Linked DNA regions of Anolis sagrei. The protein of the gene in region 2 interacts with the protein of the main gene of each other region in a biochemical or structural test. Links are inferred from orthologs where the notes say so. Each region holds a gene or a part of one and is shown on either strand. Other genes may lie near its edges. The genes, in order: ENC1 and NFE2L2.

Evidence for each region.
Region 1: the proteins of NFE2L2 (region 2) and ENC1 form a complex in vitro, tested with the Homo sapiens proteins (2 studies listed by BioGRID). The link is inferred for Anolis sagrei from reciprocal best matches to the Homo sapiens genes NFE2L2 and ENC1.

What each region holds. Positions count from the first base shown.
Region 1 is NC_090022.1:263,513,588-263,517,502, reverse strand, and holds the start of ENC1 (ectoderm-neural cortex protein 1), read left to right. Parts: upstream 1-1,351; 5' UTR 1,352-1,615; intron 1,616-3,915. UniProt on the Homo sapiens protein: Actin-binding protein involved in the regulation of neuronal process formation and in differentiation of neural crest cells.
Region 2 is NC_090021.1:190,492,302-190,496,216, forward strand, and holds the start of NFE2L2 (nuclear factor erythroid 2-related factor 2), read left to right. Parts: upstream 1-1,213; 5' UTR 1,214-1,494; coding exon 1,495-1,515; intron 1,516-3,915.

The DNA.
Region 1 (3,915 bases), on a different chromosome or scaffold from region 2:
TCATCTTGTTGTGTTTCTAATAATAATAATAATAATAATAATAATAATAATAATAATAATAGCAACAACATTTTATTTGTATTCTGCCCTATCTCTCCAAGGGGACTCAGGGCAGATTCCAGCATATACACACACAAGGAAAACATTCAATGCCTTGAAACAATGACACAAAGATACACTGATAAAGGTAAAGGCTTCCCCTTCATCTCCATATAACCAAGAAAATCAAAACAGGAAACCCCACAATATCTGCTTTGAACTGGGTTATCTGAGTCCACACTGCCATATATTCCAATTCAAAGCAGATCATAGAAACATAGAGTTGGAAGAGACGTCATGGGCCATCCAGTCCAACCTCCTGCCAAGAAGCAGGAAGATCGCATTCAAAGCACCCCTGACAGATAGCCATCCAGCCTCTGTTTAAAGGTCTCCATAGAAGGAGCCTCCACCACACTTTGGGGCAGAGAGTTCCACTACTGAACAGCTCTCACAGTGGGGAGGTTCTTCCTAATGTTCAGATGGAATCTCCTTTCTTGTAGTTTGAAGCCATTGCTCTGCGTCCTAGTCTCCAGGGCAGCAGAAAACAAGCTTGCTCCCTCCTCCCTGGGACTTCCCCTCACATATTTATACATGGCTATTATATCTCCTCTCAGCCTTCTCTTCTTCAGGCTAAACATGCCCAGCTCTTTAAGCCGCTCTTCATAGGGCTTGTTCTCCAGTTCCTTGATCATTTTAGTCGCCCTCCTCTGGACATATTCCAGCCTGTCAATATCTCTCTTGAATTGTGGTGCCCAGAATTGGACACAATATTCCAGGTGTGGTCTGACCAAGGCAGAATAGTGGGATTTCCTGCCTTGATATTCTGGGTTACATGGCTGTGTGGCAGGACTCCGAGGGCCCTTCCACAAAGTCCTATATTCCAGAATATTAAGGCAGAAAATCCCACAATATCTGCTTTGAACTCGGTTATCTGGGTCCACACTCAGATGTGGAACTTTCTGCCTTGATATTCTGGGATATAGGGCCGTGTGGAAGGGCCCTAGGCGAGAAAGAGACCTTTGTGGAGCAGAGCCTAGTCTTCAAGACCGCAGAGCCTGAATCCGTTGGTGGTGGCTGGCCACAGGCTTGCCTTGGAGGTTTGGGGCTGCTGCAAAAGGAGTTTCAGGACTAGTGATTTCCTTTTCTCTCGAGTACCAGAAAGTCCCTTCTCCCTTTCTGCCGAGGAGACCTTCCCCGTCAGTATAACCACCCCCCCATGCTTTTGCGCCCTTCCTTGCTCAGAGGAGGCGGGGCGGGGGGCGAGGCCAGAGGCAAGGCCGCCCATCTCTCTCTCTCTCTTTCTCCTCCTCCTCTTGCAGCCGCAGTTCATACAAACGCGGCGAGGAAGGCAGGCGGGCAGTCAGTCAGTCACTCGCCGGGGCCACGACGGCGTGGCTCCTCTCTTTATCCCTCTCTTCTCCGGCTCAGTCTGGAGGGCGCCCAGGGAAGGAGAGGCGGGCCTTCTAGCCCCGCCACCGCTGCGGGGAAGCACCCACCACCCCAGGCTCCCCATGCCGTGAGCGGACCCACTCCCGGGAACTAGGACGCGCGAGTCCTCCGAACACATCCTCCGGCTGTAAGTTGCCCCGACCTGTTGCCTCCCGGGGAGGGTTTGCTCAGCCCCACCGAAGGAGGGAGGGAGGGTAGATAGATAGTGGCAGAGTGGGTAGAGAGTGGGGAGAGGTGGATGAGTAGATAGTGGGGCGCGGTTGGAAGCGATCCCCTCCCCAGTTCCCTTCCACACAGCCCTATATCACAGAATATCAAGGCAGGAAATCCCACATTATCTGAATATTCACTCAGATAACCCAGTTCAAAGCGGATATTGTGGGATTTTCTGCCCTGATATTCTGGGATATAGGGCTGTGTGGAAGGGCTCTCAGATAACTCTGTTCATATCAGATATTGGGCCCTTCCATACAGCCCTATATCCCAGAATATCAAGGCAGAAAATCCCACAATATTGAACTGGCTTATCTGAGTCCATACTCGGATATTGTGGGATTTTCTGCCTTGATATTCTGGGATATAGGGCTGTGTGGAAGAGTCCCCAGTTGTCAGTCCTCTTGAGGAGCATATGCACTGCAGAATTAATCCGCTTTGACCCCACTTGAATTGCCATGGCTCAATTTTACTGGATTGTAGTTTTAAGTGTGCAGAATGAATGCAGTTTGCCACCACTTTGCTTGACTCAATGCTGCAGAACAGGCATGGGCAAATTTGGGCTCTTCAGGTGTTTTGGACTGCAACTCCCACCATTCCTAACAGCCTCAGCCCCCCTTTCCCCTCTCAGCCGCTTAAGCCTTGCAGCTTCAAAGCCCGGCTGCTTCCTGCCTGGAGGAATCTTTTATTGGGAGTTGTTAGCTGGCTCTGATTGTTTCCAACAGACTTCACAGCCTGAGGATGCCTCTTAAGCGGCTGAAGGGGAAAAGGAAGGGGCCTGAGGCTGTTAGGAATGGTGGGAGTTGCAGTCCAAAACATCTGGAGGATCCAACTTTGCCCATGCCTAGTATAGGTGCGCTTTAACTCAAAGACATTCAAAGCTCGCTCTCTCTCTCCCCCCCCCCCCCCCCCTCCGACTCGATCTGGTTTCATTCCGAAATGGTCCCGCGTGCGTGGGAAAGGGCCTGGGGAAGAATACTGCCGAGGGTTTCCCCCGAAGGAGGCAGCGATGGTCTGTCTTTGCAGCCCAAGGAAGTGAACTGCTGCGCCTCCAGCCGGGCTCATGGCTTTGCACAGGAAGAAGGCGGGCCGGAGGGTGTGCTTCTTTCTCCCTTTCTCTCGCTTCCTTCCTTCCTCAATCCCTCCCTCTTTCTCTCTCTCCCTCCCTTCTTGGGGATGCCTCGGAGTTTCTCCTTTTCCTTTCACAGCCAAGGGGGAGGGAACCGTTGGCGGTCTTTTGTGGAGGGAGACCCGCGTGGCTCGCTGGGCTTCGTCTGGGCAGCTGCAAAAAGGAAGCGCCAAAGCCGCCGGGTTTAAAAATGAAGGCGCCTATTCTCATGGGCAAGCCCTGCCAAACACCAAAACTGTGATCAACTGGGATGGGTGTGTGTTTGACAAACCAGCTTGCTCTTTCTTCTCTCTCATTCCTCCTAAATGATTTGATTGTGTCCCTTAAAACTCCCTTTCCACTCAGCCCTATATCCCAGCATATCAAGGTAGGAAATCCCACATTATCTGTGTGTGGACTCAGAAGTGGACCCACTTTAAAGCAGATAATGTGGGATTTTCTGCCTTGATATTCTGGGATATAGGGCTGAATGCAAGGGTCCAGAGTGGGATGTGGGGTGTTGTGAGTTTTCCAAGCTGGATGGCCATCTTCCAGAAGTATTCTCTCCTGACCTTTTGCCCACATCTATGGCAGGCATCCTCAGAGGTTGTGAGGTCTGTTGGAAACTAGGAAAATGGGGTTTATATATCTGTGGAATGTCCAGGGTGGGAGAAAGTACTCTTGTCTGTTGGAGGTAGGTGTGAATGTTTCAATTGGCCACCTTGATTAGCATTTAATGGCCTTGCAGTTTCTAGGTCTGGCTTCTTAGGGCCCATCCATACAGCCCTATATCCCAGAATATCTAGGTAGAAAATCCCATAATATCTGCTTTGAACTGGGTTAACTGAGTCCACACTCAGATAATGTGGGATTCTCTGCCTTGATATTCTGGGATATAGGGCTGTGTGGAAGGGCCCTTACAGTGGGATGTGTCAGTGTATTGTTGAAGGTTTCCATGGCCAGAATCATTGGGTTGCTGTGAGTTTTTTGGGCTGTATTGTTGTTGTATTGGATCACACATTGTACACTTCCCAATAATAATTTGGAAGTGTCAAACGTGTGATCCAATACAACAGTCAACATAGGGACCTTGTTTGCTGTGTACT
Region 2 (3,915 bases):
CGAACTGCTAGGTTGGCAGAAGCTGGGGCTGACAGCAGAAGCTGATGCCACTCCCCAGATTCGAACCTGCGACCTTTTGGTCAACAAGCTCAGCAGCTCAGTGCCTTAACCCACTATGCCACCGGGTAATATATTATTAGCATAGTACAATATCAATATTAAATATTATTATAGTGTACTATTCCATTATATTGTGATATTACTAGTAATATTACATGTAATATAAACATATAATTATGTTTATTAGTATTATATTTCATTACATAATATTATATGTATATACAATATATTATATTATTAGCCTAGCACAGGAGACAAGGTGGAACTGTCTTCTGCTCCCCTCTCTCTTCACTCTGGCCCAGAGCAGCAGTTATTTCTTGGGGGGGGGGGGGGGGGGGGAGGGGTCCCCAACTGATGACATATTTATTTATCTACTATATTTGTATACTGCTTTTCTCAGCCCTCGGGCGACTCAAAGTGGTTAACAATAGCAAAATTCAATGCTCAGAACACCATAAAACAGTTAAAAACAATTAAAACAGTAGCATATTAAACACAATCATGCAGGAGACAAGGTGGAACTGTCCCCTGGCCACCTCTCTCTTCACTCGGGCCCAGAGCGTCTACACCAGGCCTGGGCAAGCTTGGGCCCTCCAGGTGTTTTGGACTTCAACTCCCACAATTCCACCAGCTATTAGGAATTGTGAGAGTTGGAAGTCCAAAACACCTGGAGGGCCCAACTTTGCCCAGGCCTGGTCTACACTGTGAGGTTAATTCAATTTGACCCCACTTTAACTGCCGCGGCTGTTAGGAATTGTGGGAGTTGAAGTCCAAAACACCTGGAGGGCCCAAGCCTGGCCTACACGGTGAAGTTCATGGAGTTTGACTTCACTTTAACTGCTGCTGCTGTTAGGAATTGTAGGAGTTGAAGTCCAAAACACCTGGAGGGCCCAAGTTTGCCCAGGCCTGGTCTACACTGTGAGGTTAATTTAGTTTGACCCCACTTTAACCGCCATGGCTCAATGCTATGGGATGTTGGCCCTTTTGCAAGGGTTTGAGCCTTCTCTGCTCCCTGAACTGCGACTCCGAGGATTCCACAGCACTGAGGCAGTTAAAGCGGTGCCAAAGTGGGTTTATCCTCCAGTGTGGACCAACCGCGAGGGCCTCCCGGCTCGGCCCCTCCTTCTCCGGGGGGAGGGAGGGAGGGAGAAAGGGAGAGAAGGCGGGGCAGGCGGCTGGTGGTTTCCCGGCAGGGAGGACGGACGGAGGGCGAGCAGAGCGGGACAGGGACAGCGGAGGAGAAGCAGGAGGAGGAGAAGGCTGTGTCGGCGTCACCGCCGGAGAGAGGCAGCTAAAGCGTCCCGTCCAGAAAAGGAAGAGCCTCAGTCCGCTTGATTCGTTAGGCGGCGAAGCCTCTCTCTCACTCTCCCTTTCTCCCCCCCCCCCCCCCGCACCCGGCGTGGAACCCGTTGCGTCATCGCCAGTGACGTCACCATGGAGGTCGAGATGCCGCAGGTGAGGCTCACTTTAGGGGTACTTGGATCCCCTTCCCCAGGAGGGGCGGGGCAGAGAGAGACCTCCGTGCGGGAGGAAAGGGGGCGGGGTTAAGGATAGGCCACGCCCCCTCGATTGCTGCGATCGCCACAGCGGTCCAAGCCGGTGTTATTTTTTTTCCTTTTTCTAAGCCACGCCCCTCTAGGCCGTGACGTCACAGCCAGGCTCGAATGCGCTGACTCACTGGCTCTTCGGTCGGCCTTGACAAGAGGAAGGGGCCCTGTTTTGGTTTGGAAACGAGGGAGTTGTAGTTTGGAGAAGTACCAGCACTCTTGGGCAGAGAAGGGCAAAGAAAAGCCAGAAGTCCTATAACTATGTAGAATGGATCAATAAGAGTTAAAGTGGTGTCAAAAGTGCATTCATTCTACAGTGTAGATCAGGCCTGAGCAAACTCTGGCCTTCCAGGTGTTTTGGACTTCAACTCCCACAATTCCTAGCAGTCCAAAACACCTGGAAGACCAGAGTTTGCCCTAGCTGCTGGGAATTGTGGGAGTTGAAGTTCAAAACACCTGGAAGGCCAGAGTTTGTCCAGGCCTGGTGGAGATGCGCCCTGGATCTGTTTTTCTTGTTGCTTCACCACTTTGTTTTCCCACATCTGGATCTATTATATACATATAATAATAATAATAATAATAATAATAATAATAATAATATGGAGCCCCCGGTGGCACAGTGGGTTAAACCCCTGTGCTGGCAGGACTGAAGACTGACAGGTCACATGTTCGAATCTGAGGAGAGGCCGATGAGCTCCCTCTATCAGCTCCAGCTCCTCATGCCGGGACATGAGAGAAGCCTCCCACAAGGATGATAAAAACATCAAATCATCCCCTGGGCAACGTCCTTGCAGACGGCCAATTCTCTCACACCAGAAGCAACTTGCAGTTTCTCAAGTCGCTCCTGACACAACAGCAATAATAATAATAATAATAATAATAATAATAATAGTAATAAACTTTATTTATACCCCCCAACCATCTCCTCAAAGGGGACTCGGGGTGGCTAACATGAGGCCAAGCCCAAAAATACAATACAGCAAAAAGTAAAATACAGACTGCAGACAATCAAAATTGCATCAGAATAAAATATGTATAGTAGCAAAAATAACATAAATAAAGCAAATTAGCACAGTATAAAATTGAAACAAAATGGACAGGCCAAATGAACGAGATAAAATGATAAAACCCTGGATGGGGTAGGAATAAAATATGTGATTGAGGGAAACCCAAAAGGATAATAAATAAATGCACAAAAAGATTGCAAAATGTGCAGTCTAGTAAGATATTTAGACTGTTACTGAAAGGAGGCAGACTTTCCATGGAGCTGCTGCTACTTTTTCAATACGTTCATAAAGCAGCAAATTCTTTACCTTTGTGCTTAGAAGGAATTATCACTTTTAGGTAACAGGGCTGTGCCCTTCATTTGCTTTCCGGTAATAATATGGGGCTGTGATGATGCAATGAGTTAAAGTGCTAAGCTGCTGAACTTACTGATTGGAAGGTCAGCGGTTCGAATCCGCAGGACGGGGTGAGCTCTGTTAGCCCCAGCTTCCAACCTAGCAGTTCGGAAAAACATGCAAATGTGAGTAGATCACTAGGTACCATGTCAGCGGGAAGGTAATGGTGCTCCATGCAGTCATGCTGGCCACATGACCTTGGAGGTGTCTAAGGACAGCATCAGCTCTTCGGCTTAGAAATGGAGATGAGCACCAACCCCCCAGACTTAATGTCAAGGGGAAACCTTTACTTTTACTAATATTACTAAAAATAAGAAAGCATAGGCACTTTGGTGGCACATGAATCCACTTAAAATCCAGTTTCTGCCTCCTGCAGAATGCTGGGGTTTGTAGTTTAGGGAGGATCCTTTAACAGCCTCACTAAACTACAAACCCCAGCATTCTGCAGGAGGCAGATACCGGATTTTAAGTGGATTCATTCTCAAGTGTGATGAAGAGTAGAGGGTGCATCCACATTGTAGAATTAATACTATATGACAGCACTTTAACTGCCATTGCTCCAGACTATGGAATCACGATAGTTGCAGTTTGACAAGGTCTTTAGCCTTCTCTGCCAACAGGAAATAGCCTCTCATATTTAGAACAATAATGTACATAATGGCTTTCATCTGATGTCAGTAGTCTACAGAGCCATGTGGAATATTTGCGGGTCTCTCACCAAACTACAGCTCCCAGGATACCATAGCATTGAGAGCCATGGCAGTTAAAGGATCAAACTGCATTAGTGCTACACTTTGCTATCATCACAGGGCCCTTCCACACAGCCATATAACCCAGAATATCAAGGCAGAAAATCTCACAATATCTTCTTTGAATTTGGTTATCTGAGTCCACACTGCCATGTATCC